2 linked regions of the Caenorhabditis elegans genome follow. The protein of the gene in region 2 interacts with the protein of the main gene of each other region in a pairwise test. Each region holds a gene or a part of one and is shown on either strand. Other genes may lie near its edges.

Evidence for each region.
Region 1: the proteins of gipc-1 (region 2) and F25D1.5 interact in a two-hybrid assay, tested with the Caenorhabditis elegans proteins (one large-scale study listed by BioGRID).

What each region holds. Positions count from the first base shown.
Region 1 is NC_003283.11:10,544,944-10,548,710, forward strand, and holds F25D1.5 (DeHydrogenases, Short chain), read right to left. Parts: upstream 1,841-3,767; 5' UTR 1,810-1,840; coding exon 1,540-1,809; intron 1,497-1,539; coding exon 1,308-1,496; intron 1,261-1,307; coding exon 886-1,260; 3' UTR 800-885; downstream 1-799. Other genes in the region: degt-1 (Acid-sensing ion channel 1), read left to right, coding at 1-104, 306-397, 544-635, 678-799; srd-34 (Serpentine receptor class delta-34), read right to left, coding at 2,655-2,857, 2,907-3,064, 3,111-3,310, 3,363-3,509, 3,556-3,652, 3,700-3,737.
Region 2 is NC_003281.10:4,868,841-4,872,770, reverse strand, and holds gipc-1 (PDZ domain-containing protein), read right to left. Parts: upstream 1,994-3,930; 5' UTR 1,932-1,993; coding exon 1,897-1,931; intron 1,843-1,896; coding exon 1,545-1,842; intron 1,498-1,544; coding exon 757-1,497; 3' UTR 510-756; downstream 1-509. Other genes in the region: C35D10.12 (Methyltransferase type 11 domain-containing protein), read left to right, coding at 49-204; C35D10.3 (uncharacterized protein), read right to left, coding at 2,675-2,828, 2,873-3,165, 3,359-3,494, 3,804-3,841.

The sequences.
Region 1 (3,767 bases), on a different chromosome or scaffold from region 2:
TTGCAGTATTGACAGGAATTGCTGCAGATGAAAGTTTCAGTGATAAATTTTCAAATTTCTCGAAATGTTTGGATGAACTTCACGAAAAAGCGCCAAATTTAAAGGCAAGAATAATTACTGACTTTGAAATATTCAAAATACCTAAAAATTACATTTATTTGTTTGTTTGTTTATTCGAAATTTGATAAATAGTAACAAAATGTAATACATAGAAGATCAACGGGGAAAATCGAATAATACATAAAATAAGAAAATATTTCAAAGTTTAAAAATCAAGATCTGATTTTAATTTCTATATTTTAAAGAAAACTCGATTCATCCGTGGCGAATGGCTTTCAAGACTTCGAAACCAAGTTTTGATGGCCCAGTCATATTCTCCAACTCCTCAATATGATGTGTAAGTCTTTTAAGCGTAATCTGAGTTGTGAGTAGGGTGAGCTCAGTGATGGCAAACGACGCCGCCGTGACGTCTTGTTCTAATTGAGTGTATGCGTGCAAATAAACATTAAACTTGGTACTTTCAACGGAACAAACTTTTTTCAGAGTAAATCTTCTTCACATCAAGTTCTATTTTGCACACTTTAAACAAGAGACTATTCTTCAAGAAAGATCCTACAACTTATTTTTACTTCTTGGTGAGTTTTACTCGATGTGCTTGTAACTTTGAAAGTTTTCAGCCGAAATTGGAGGAACCATTGGATTATATGTTGGAGCAACACTTCTAACTGCAGCAGAAACTCTTGTTTTTCTTTGTGAACGAAAGAAAAGTAATATATTCCTAAAACCACAATTTATATAAAAGTATTCAATGTATTTTATTGTGTATTTTACGACTATTACATTAGATAACAATGGTTAACAAAATCTGAAAAAAAAAGTTATAGTTTACTGACTAAGAACGGACATAAGATCATGTGTTTGCATTCCCATAACAAGAGTTGATCCTCCATCAGCAACAATCGATTGTCCAATAATGTAAGATGAGAGGTTTCTATCAGCCAGGAATACAATGATATTGGCAATTTCTTCTGGCTTTCCACAATGCCCAACAGGAATGCATTCTTTCCGTGAGCCAATAAAACTGTAAAGCTTGTCAGATGCAGTTTCTGGTAAACCCATCGCTCCCATGAAACCAGTGGCAACTGCTCCAGGGCTGACAGAATTTACGCGGACACCATGTTGAATAAGATCGATTGCAGTGCATCTGGTGTATTGGTCAAGCGCAGCTTTTGCGCAAGCATAATATGGATATCCAGAGTGCTGAAAATTAAAACAAAAGTTCTGAAATCCTCTCTCCCGAAGCTTACTGCTTGTGGGCCAGCAACGATACTGGAAACATTTACAATCTCTCCTTTTGTCTTTATCAAATGTTCCTTTGTTTTCTGAGTCATTTCGATCACAGCTTGGAAGTTTAACTTGAATGTTTTCTGATACAACTCCACTGGTTGATCCGTATTAGCTGTTCCGTCAGCTAAATTGGCACCAGCATTATTAACCTAAAACAATTGAGTATATTTCATTTTCTATCTATGTACATACCAAGATATCAATTTTTCCGAATTTAGCAAGAGTCGTGTTGATGATATCATCTTGTCCTGATGCTTCGGTAACATCAGCAACCACGGCATTAATCTTCTCAGCTGGAACTCCTGCTTTCAATATTTGCTGTTTGGTTTCTTCTAGGCGATCTTCATTTCTTCCAGTAATTGTAACTTGAGCTCCTTCCTTTGCAAAAATCACAGCAGCCGATCTTCCGATTCCATTAGAAGAACCAGTTATAATGACAGACTTTCCAGAAAAGCGAGCCATTATTTTGAGATTACAAAAATAAAATGTCAATCAGATGAATGTGATGTTTAAATGCAGTTTAATGTTTTCTTTTTATACTCATTGCAGTTAAAATTATTTCATGGTTGAATGGAAGTTTGTAGTTTCCGTGACTAAAATATGAAATATCTGTTTACGTAGAGAGTATTTTCAAAGTTACTTCCCGAAGAGACCATAGACAGTGTAACAATTTTTGTGACTGTTAATTCCTCTGCGTCTCTTTGAATTGTGTCTATTTTTGTGCAAGCACAGTTGAGGGAAGATCAATTGATCAAGTTTTCAATATGAAAACACAACTATGATTTCAGGAATTTTAAAATTTTATTTGCTTAAAAAAAAAATAATTTCCGTGTCCAATAGTCTTGCACCCATCTCTCCATCTTTAGCTGCTTATTTTTCGGTTGTTTTTTTAATTTTGTCAGACATTCGCCAACTAGCAAAATATAAACAATAAGCTTTTTCTTAGGGCTTTAATAACACATTTCTAGTATCGTTAAAACGTAGTGCGACACTAGACGTCAAAATGAATTAATTTGGTGAGGAAATACGGTGAATAGTCTCTCTAGATCCAAAAACTTGTTTAACAATAATTGTTTGAGAGCTTTGGCACTTTATTTTAAAGTGTAATGTTGAACTGTAAATATTTTTTCATCGTTATTTTTATTTGCAGATCTTCGAACAATGTTTTTCATTTGTCGGTATTTTTTATTACTGTTATAAAAGTGCTTGTGTAATATCTTTGAACAATGTTATTTTATTCAATTGAGCAAAGTTCCGATTACTACTCCGATTAGTCCACCACTATCATTACCAATTATTCAAAATGCTCAAAAAATGGAAACAGCCGAAATATTGTTACGTCTAACAATTGCAGGTGAAACTTTTTTGCCACAAAACGTATCCTTGAAAAACGCAATAAAGGCTTTTTGGTACGGTGTGATGGTGACAATAACAATGAACGCATCAATAGCTGTTGGAAGAGAAAGCATCATATATAGAACTTTTTCAAAATTTGAGAGAAACGGCAAGTCTGAAAATTGTCACATATTATTTTACTGTAAAAACGGACAGGAGCCTACCATAATTCTCAAGTATTAAGTGAGCTATGTATATAGGAATCACACAAACTGCAGGGACAAGTGTCTGAATCGTCAAAGCAAGATCAAACTTCTTGGCTTGAGCAGCAGTTTTATCAGTAAATAAATGTTTTAAACTGTTGAGTTTAATTTGTATTAGTCTGGAAACACATTGGTAAGTATTTCTTCGAAACTCAAATTTATTACCTAATAAACACAATACTCATGATTGGTGGGACGAAAATGCTTATCATATTCAAATTTGTTGCTAACCAGCTCCAAAAATGTTTTTGATATCCAGTGATATCCGCATAGTACCGGAAATCATATTGTGTTGAATGAAACTTCCTGGTCTCTGAAGCAACCTCAAGAGATTCGTCTGGTTCGTACGTTATCACATAGATCACCTAGAAACATTCATATTTCCATTCTAGATCAATCACGAAAAGCAAAACTCACCCCCACAATTAAAGATAGAAGGTAAGAGCTTAAAAGAATCATTCTGATTTGATTTTTAGTTATGTTTTTCATATTAATATTTGTTACTTTTGTATATTTGTAAAACAATGTAGCAGGAATTGCAAAGGACGAGGCATCAAAGACTAACTGAATTTTGAATATTTGTAAAAAATAACAATTACAGGACACTTACCTGGAAAAAATCAAAACTGAAAAAGCAAGCATTTTTATGAGTGTGTCTACAAAACCCGCTAAAAAGATATGCTGACGATTCTGGATTGTTCACAGGTCTGAAGGAACAGTGTTAGCTAAAAATTAATATTATCGTACAACTAACCTGACTTGTGTGAAGACAACTATTATGCACATGAAAAACTGTAAAGTTGAAGAATTGACAAGAAAGAC
Region 2 (3,930 bases):
CTTACAATTAAATTAAGAGATTTTCAGCTAATAATTTTCCATTTTCAGGTCACATTCTACCGCTTCTATCATGTTTTCAAAGACGGTGAACTTGCCGATTTAGTAGATTCCGTGGAGAGTCTAAAAGTCGTCTCAGCAACTTTTGAACATGGCAATTGGTGTGTAATTGCTGAAAAAGTGGCGGCAAATGTCATTCGACCATGAACATTAGGAATCATCTCGTATTGCACATATCCAAAGTTCGTTTGAGAACTAAATCTTATGATCTCGAAAAAAATAAACTGTATTTATGTAAATAAGCGTTAAAATCTTACAAATTAATACAAAACGTTTGAAGTTTATGCAGATTTTATCTTTCGCTTCTAACTAGGTTGCAGGTGGACATGGTGTAACGGACATTTGGAGCTCGAGAGCTCCAATGAGAAACCAATGGGAAAGCATAAAATTGAATACATACTTTTGACAAAACGCTGTTTTAAAATAAACATTTTGACAAAAGAAAAATAAAATAAATTTGAAGCTTCATTTAAACAGCATTTAAACTGGGAATCGATGAATGCTATGATTTTCTAGAGGCTTATGAAATGCGGATGCCTGTTGGAGAATAAGATGTGCTGAATGAAACAATCGAACTAAGCAGCGGAAAGAGTGTTTTTCAAGTCTTGTGAATCGAATAAATTTGAAAAGTTAGTGGGATATACTTTAAACCAATTTAAGACAGTTCGGAGATTAAAATAATTTATTCCACAGTAAAAGTTACTCAAAGAGTTTCATAGCCGATGGTCTTGAAATCGCATTCTTCATGACTGGGGATGGCTTCTTCTCACGTTGCTCCCGCTTCAAATCACCGATGATTCCCCACATATCGAAAACCATTCCATCCGGGAAATCGAACATTGAGAGCTCCGACTCTTTGATGGCTTCACTGAGTTGCAAAAGCGTCTCGCAGTTTGAAGCAGTTTCCCAGATTCTCATGGCCAGCTGATCATCTTGAACTCCCAAGTATTGGTCGAATATCTCATTGAGCTTTCCGCACATCTCAGCTTGGATCATCTGATCTTGAACATCCTCAACAGCAAATCCGCCTTCCGATTTGAAACGAATGGTTCCTTTTGCCAGACCTCCGCCAGTTTTTCCAGTCGTCTTCATGGTTCCTGGATCAGCAGTCTTTGGAGCAATCAATCGAACCACGCATTCCTCGCCGCGACGAACATTTTTCAAAATTCGGGCAACTTGGTAATGCCTTTTCCCGAGCACACATTCTCCATTGACCGCCTCAATGAGTTGACCAACTTGAGTGGCTGGACGCATACGATCAAACACCGAATCTGGGCTTATGACCTTGATAAATGCATTCCCGAGTCCGTTGTCCGTGATTGTCACTCCAAAGTTTTTAGCATCTTTGACGACTCGGAGCTCGGTTGCTTGTCCGCGAATGTGGGCGAAGAGCATATCCTTGAAGTTCAGTGTTCCAGTGAACATGTTCTTCATGTCTGGCTGAAATATTTAGAATAAGAATTTGACTTATTTATGTCAAAACTAACCTTAAAATCATTGACTGTCAGGAAAATGATATCATCTTTTGAAATTGTAAAGCAATCGGCAATTGATTGATACAATTCCTCCATATTGTTCCATTTGTCGATGATTCCAACTGGACTTCCATGAGCCATCTGGCAAGCAAATTTGAGCTGTCTTGCTGCCACCATCAAAGGATTGACTACTGTCATGATAGTAGACGATGATTCCTCGGCAATTGAATCCAATACGGCAGGCTGAATTGGAAGCACTGAACCGTGGTTGGAGCTACGATTGAAAGCTCCACGAGATCTCGAGCGGGTTCTAAAATATTCATGGTAACTTGAGACATAAGACTCGGGCTCATGTAATACATACCTAGAACGGCAGAATGGTGATCCTTGTCCTTGCATTGTGGAGAATGTTAGTAGTTGTACTAGTTGAAGTGAGTTGGTGTTAAATCGATGAATGAATCATTTTATCAAGAAACTGATCTTTTATAGGCATTGATGTGGGCGGAGCTTAGATGCCAACCAAATTAGAGTGCCACGCTGAGGAAGTTCATTAAAAATATAACTTTCGAATTTTATTAATTTTCGTGTTTTTCTTCATTTTGTTTTAAAACTGTAACACGTATAACTAAAGTAAATCGCAAACAATTCTCTCGATTTTTGCTCAATATCGAGGCAATTTCCAGATCTTAACACGAGTTAATTGTTCAACTACCGTACCCGTAAGACTTGCCCTAAAAATATTGGCTGCGGACTCTTCATGAGCTCAAAAAGGATTATGTGCTCATCGGAGGAGCCGAGCGATTTAAAATTGATATCTAGTTTTTTGTGATTTTAACTATTTGAAATCATTTATTTGAAGCAGTTCTTTTTATCCTGGGTTTCTTTTGTCAAACTTTTCCGAGCAGGAGCCCCGTCGACTTTTGAATAGTGATGGTTGGGAATGTATCTTGTGAAACTGAAATATCAGCCCAAGTAGCGACAAAAAAAACCAGAAGTATGAATACTCTCTATGAATACTGATAGACCTGATAATACGCTTTGTGACTATACTTCTGGCTGGCTCCTGGGCCATAACTATGGTGCAGGAAATTCTTATATTGAAACCCAATGGGAATTTTTTAATGAAAAATCTTTATTAAAAATCAATCCTCTTGAGTTCGATCAATTTTATTTTTTCTTTCCTTTTTTCCTTTCCCTTCATTCTCATCCTCATCTTTCGAGAAGAGATCTATTGTTGCTCCTGTCCACTTTTTCAGAATTTTCTGAGATCCTCCAGTGCTTGGTTGAGTGGGTTGGCTGAAAATATAATCATTTTCAGAAAATTCAAACTTAAAACATACACATCAGGAGTAAGAATATCCATATTACTCTCCCGCAACACTTTCTCTACGTCTTCATCTCTCGCCTTTCTGATTTGAGCAGCAACTACATCCGTTGATCCCATTGAGCCATTACTTGTCTTACTTGCCACTTCATTCAATGCTCCTGCGATATTGTTATTTTGATCTCGATTGTTGAAAAAGTCGAATTCTTTCTTATCACTGTTCTTCTTATCATTCACTTTTCTGGTTACTTGCATAAGAAGACCTACATTTGGCTCTTGAATGCGGAGACGTTCGGCGAGTTGCTGGAGCTGAAATATGAATAGAAGTGAGCTTCACAATTCACGCTCACCCCTCTCGACCGGAAGGCGCCTATTGCAAGAGGATGGCGATTACGTGATCATCAATGATCATTACGCCTCGGTCGGATGAAATATTTAGGCAGGGCCCGAAAAGGAAGATACGTTGAACCTGCACTAACAATCTGATCTAATGAACACAAACCTTCCACTCAGTGAACTTCAGCCATCGTACATTCCTTCGAAACCCGCAATTCATATATAACGTCATAAGCATTGTAAGGAGTGTCATGCATGTACAAGCAACAATCATCCATAAGTTTGGGCTGCATATTGCGTAACTGAAAAAAGAGAAGTTTGATAGAAGTTTACACTCTTTAAATTTTCTCACAAAAGCTTCTAATTCTTAAGAATATGGAACAAATCCTGAGAAGAAAGCAACAGCTTTGTCTCAAGGCACACATGCCTACCTTTCGCCTACTACAAAAGAGAGCTTTTGCGGGTTGGTACACAATAGATCTAGGTTTTCTTGTAGGAAATCAAGCAGGCATTTTATGCCTACACAATACATCATGACATACGCTGGCTATCTAAATGTTAAGCCTTGAAATACCCCAACATAATGCCCATTAACACAAACTATTCCAAACCTTGAAAATTGACCAATCATTCCAACTGAACACGTCATTGTGGAAATGAATTTTTTCTATAAATTTTTTATATTTTATTCATAACACCAAAAAACCTTTTCAAAATTTTCGAAAATGTTTAAACTCG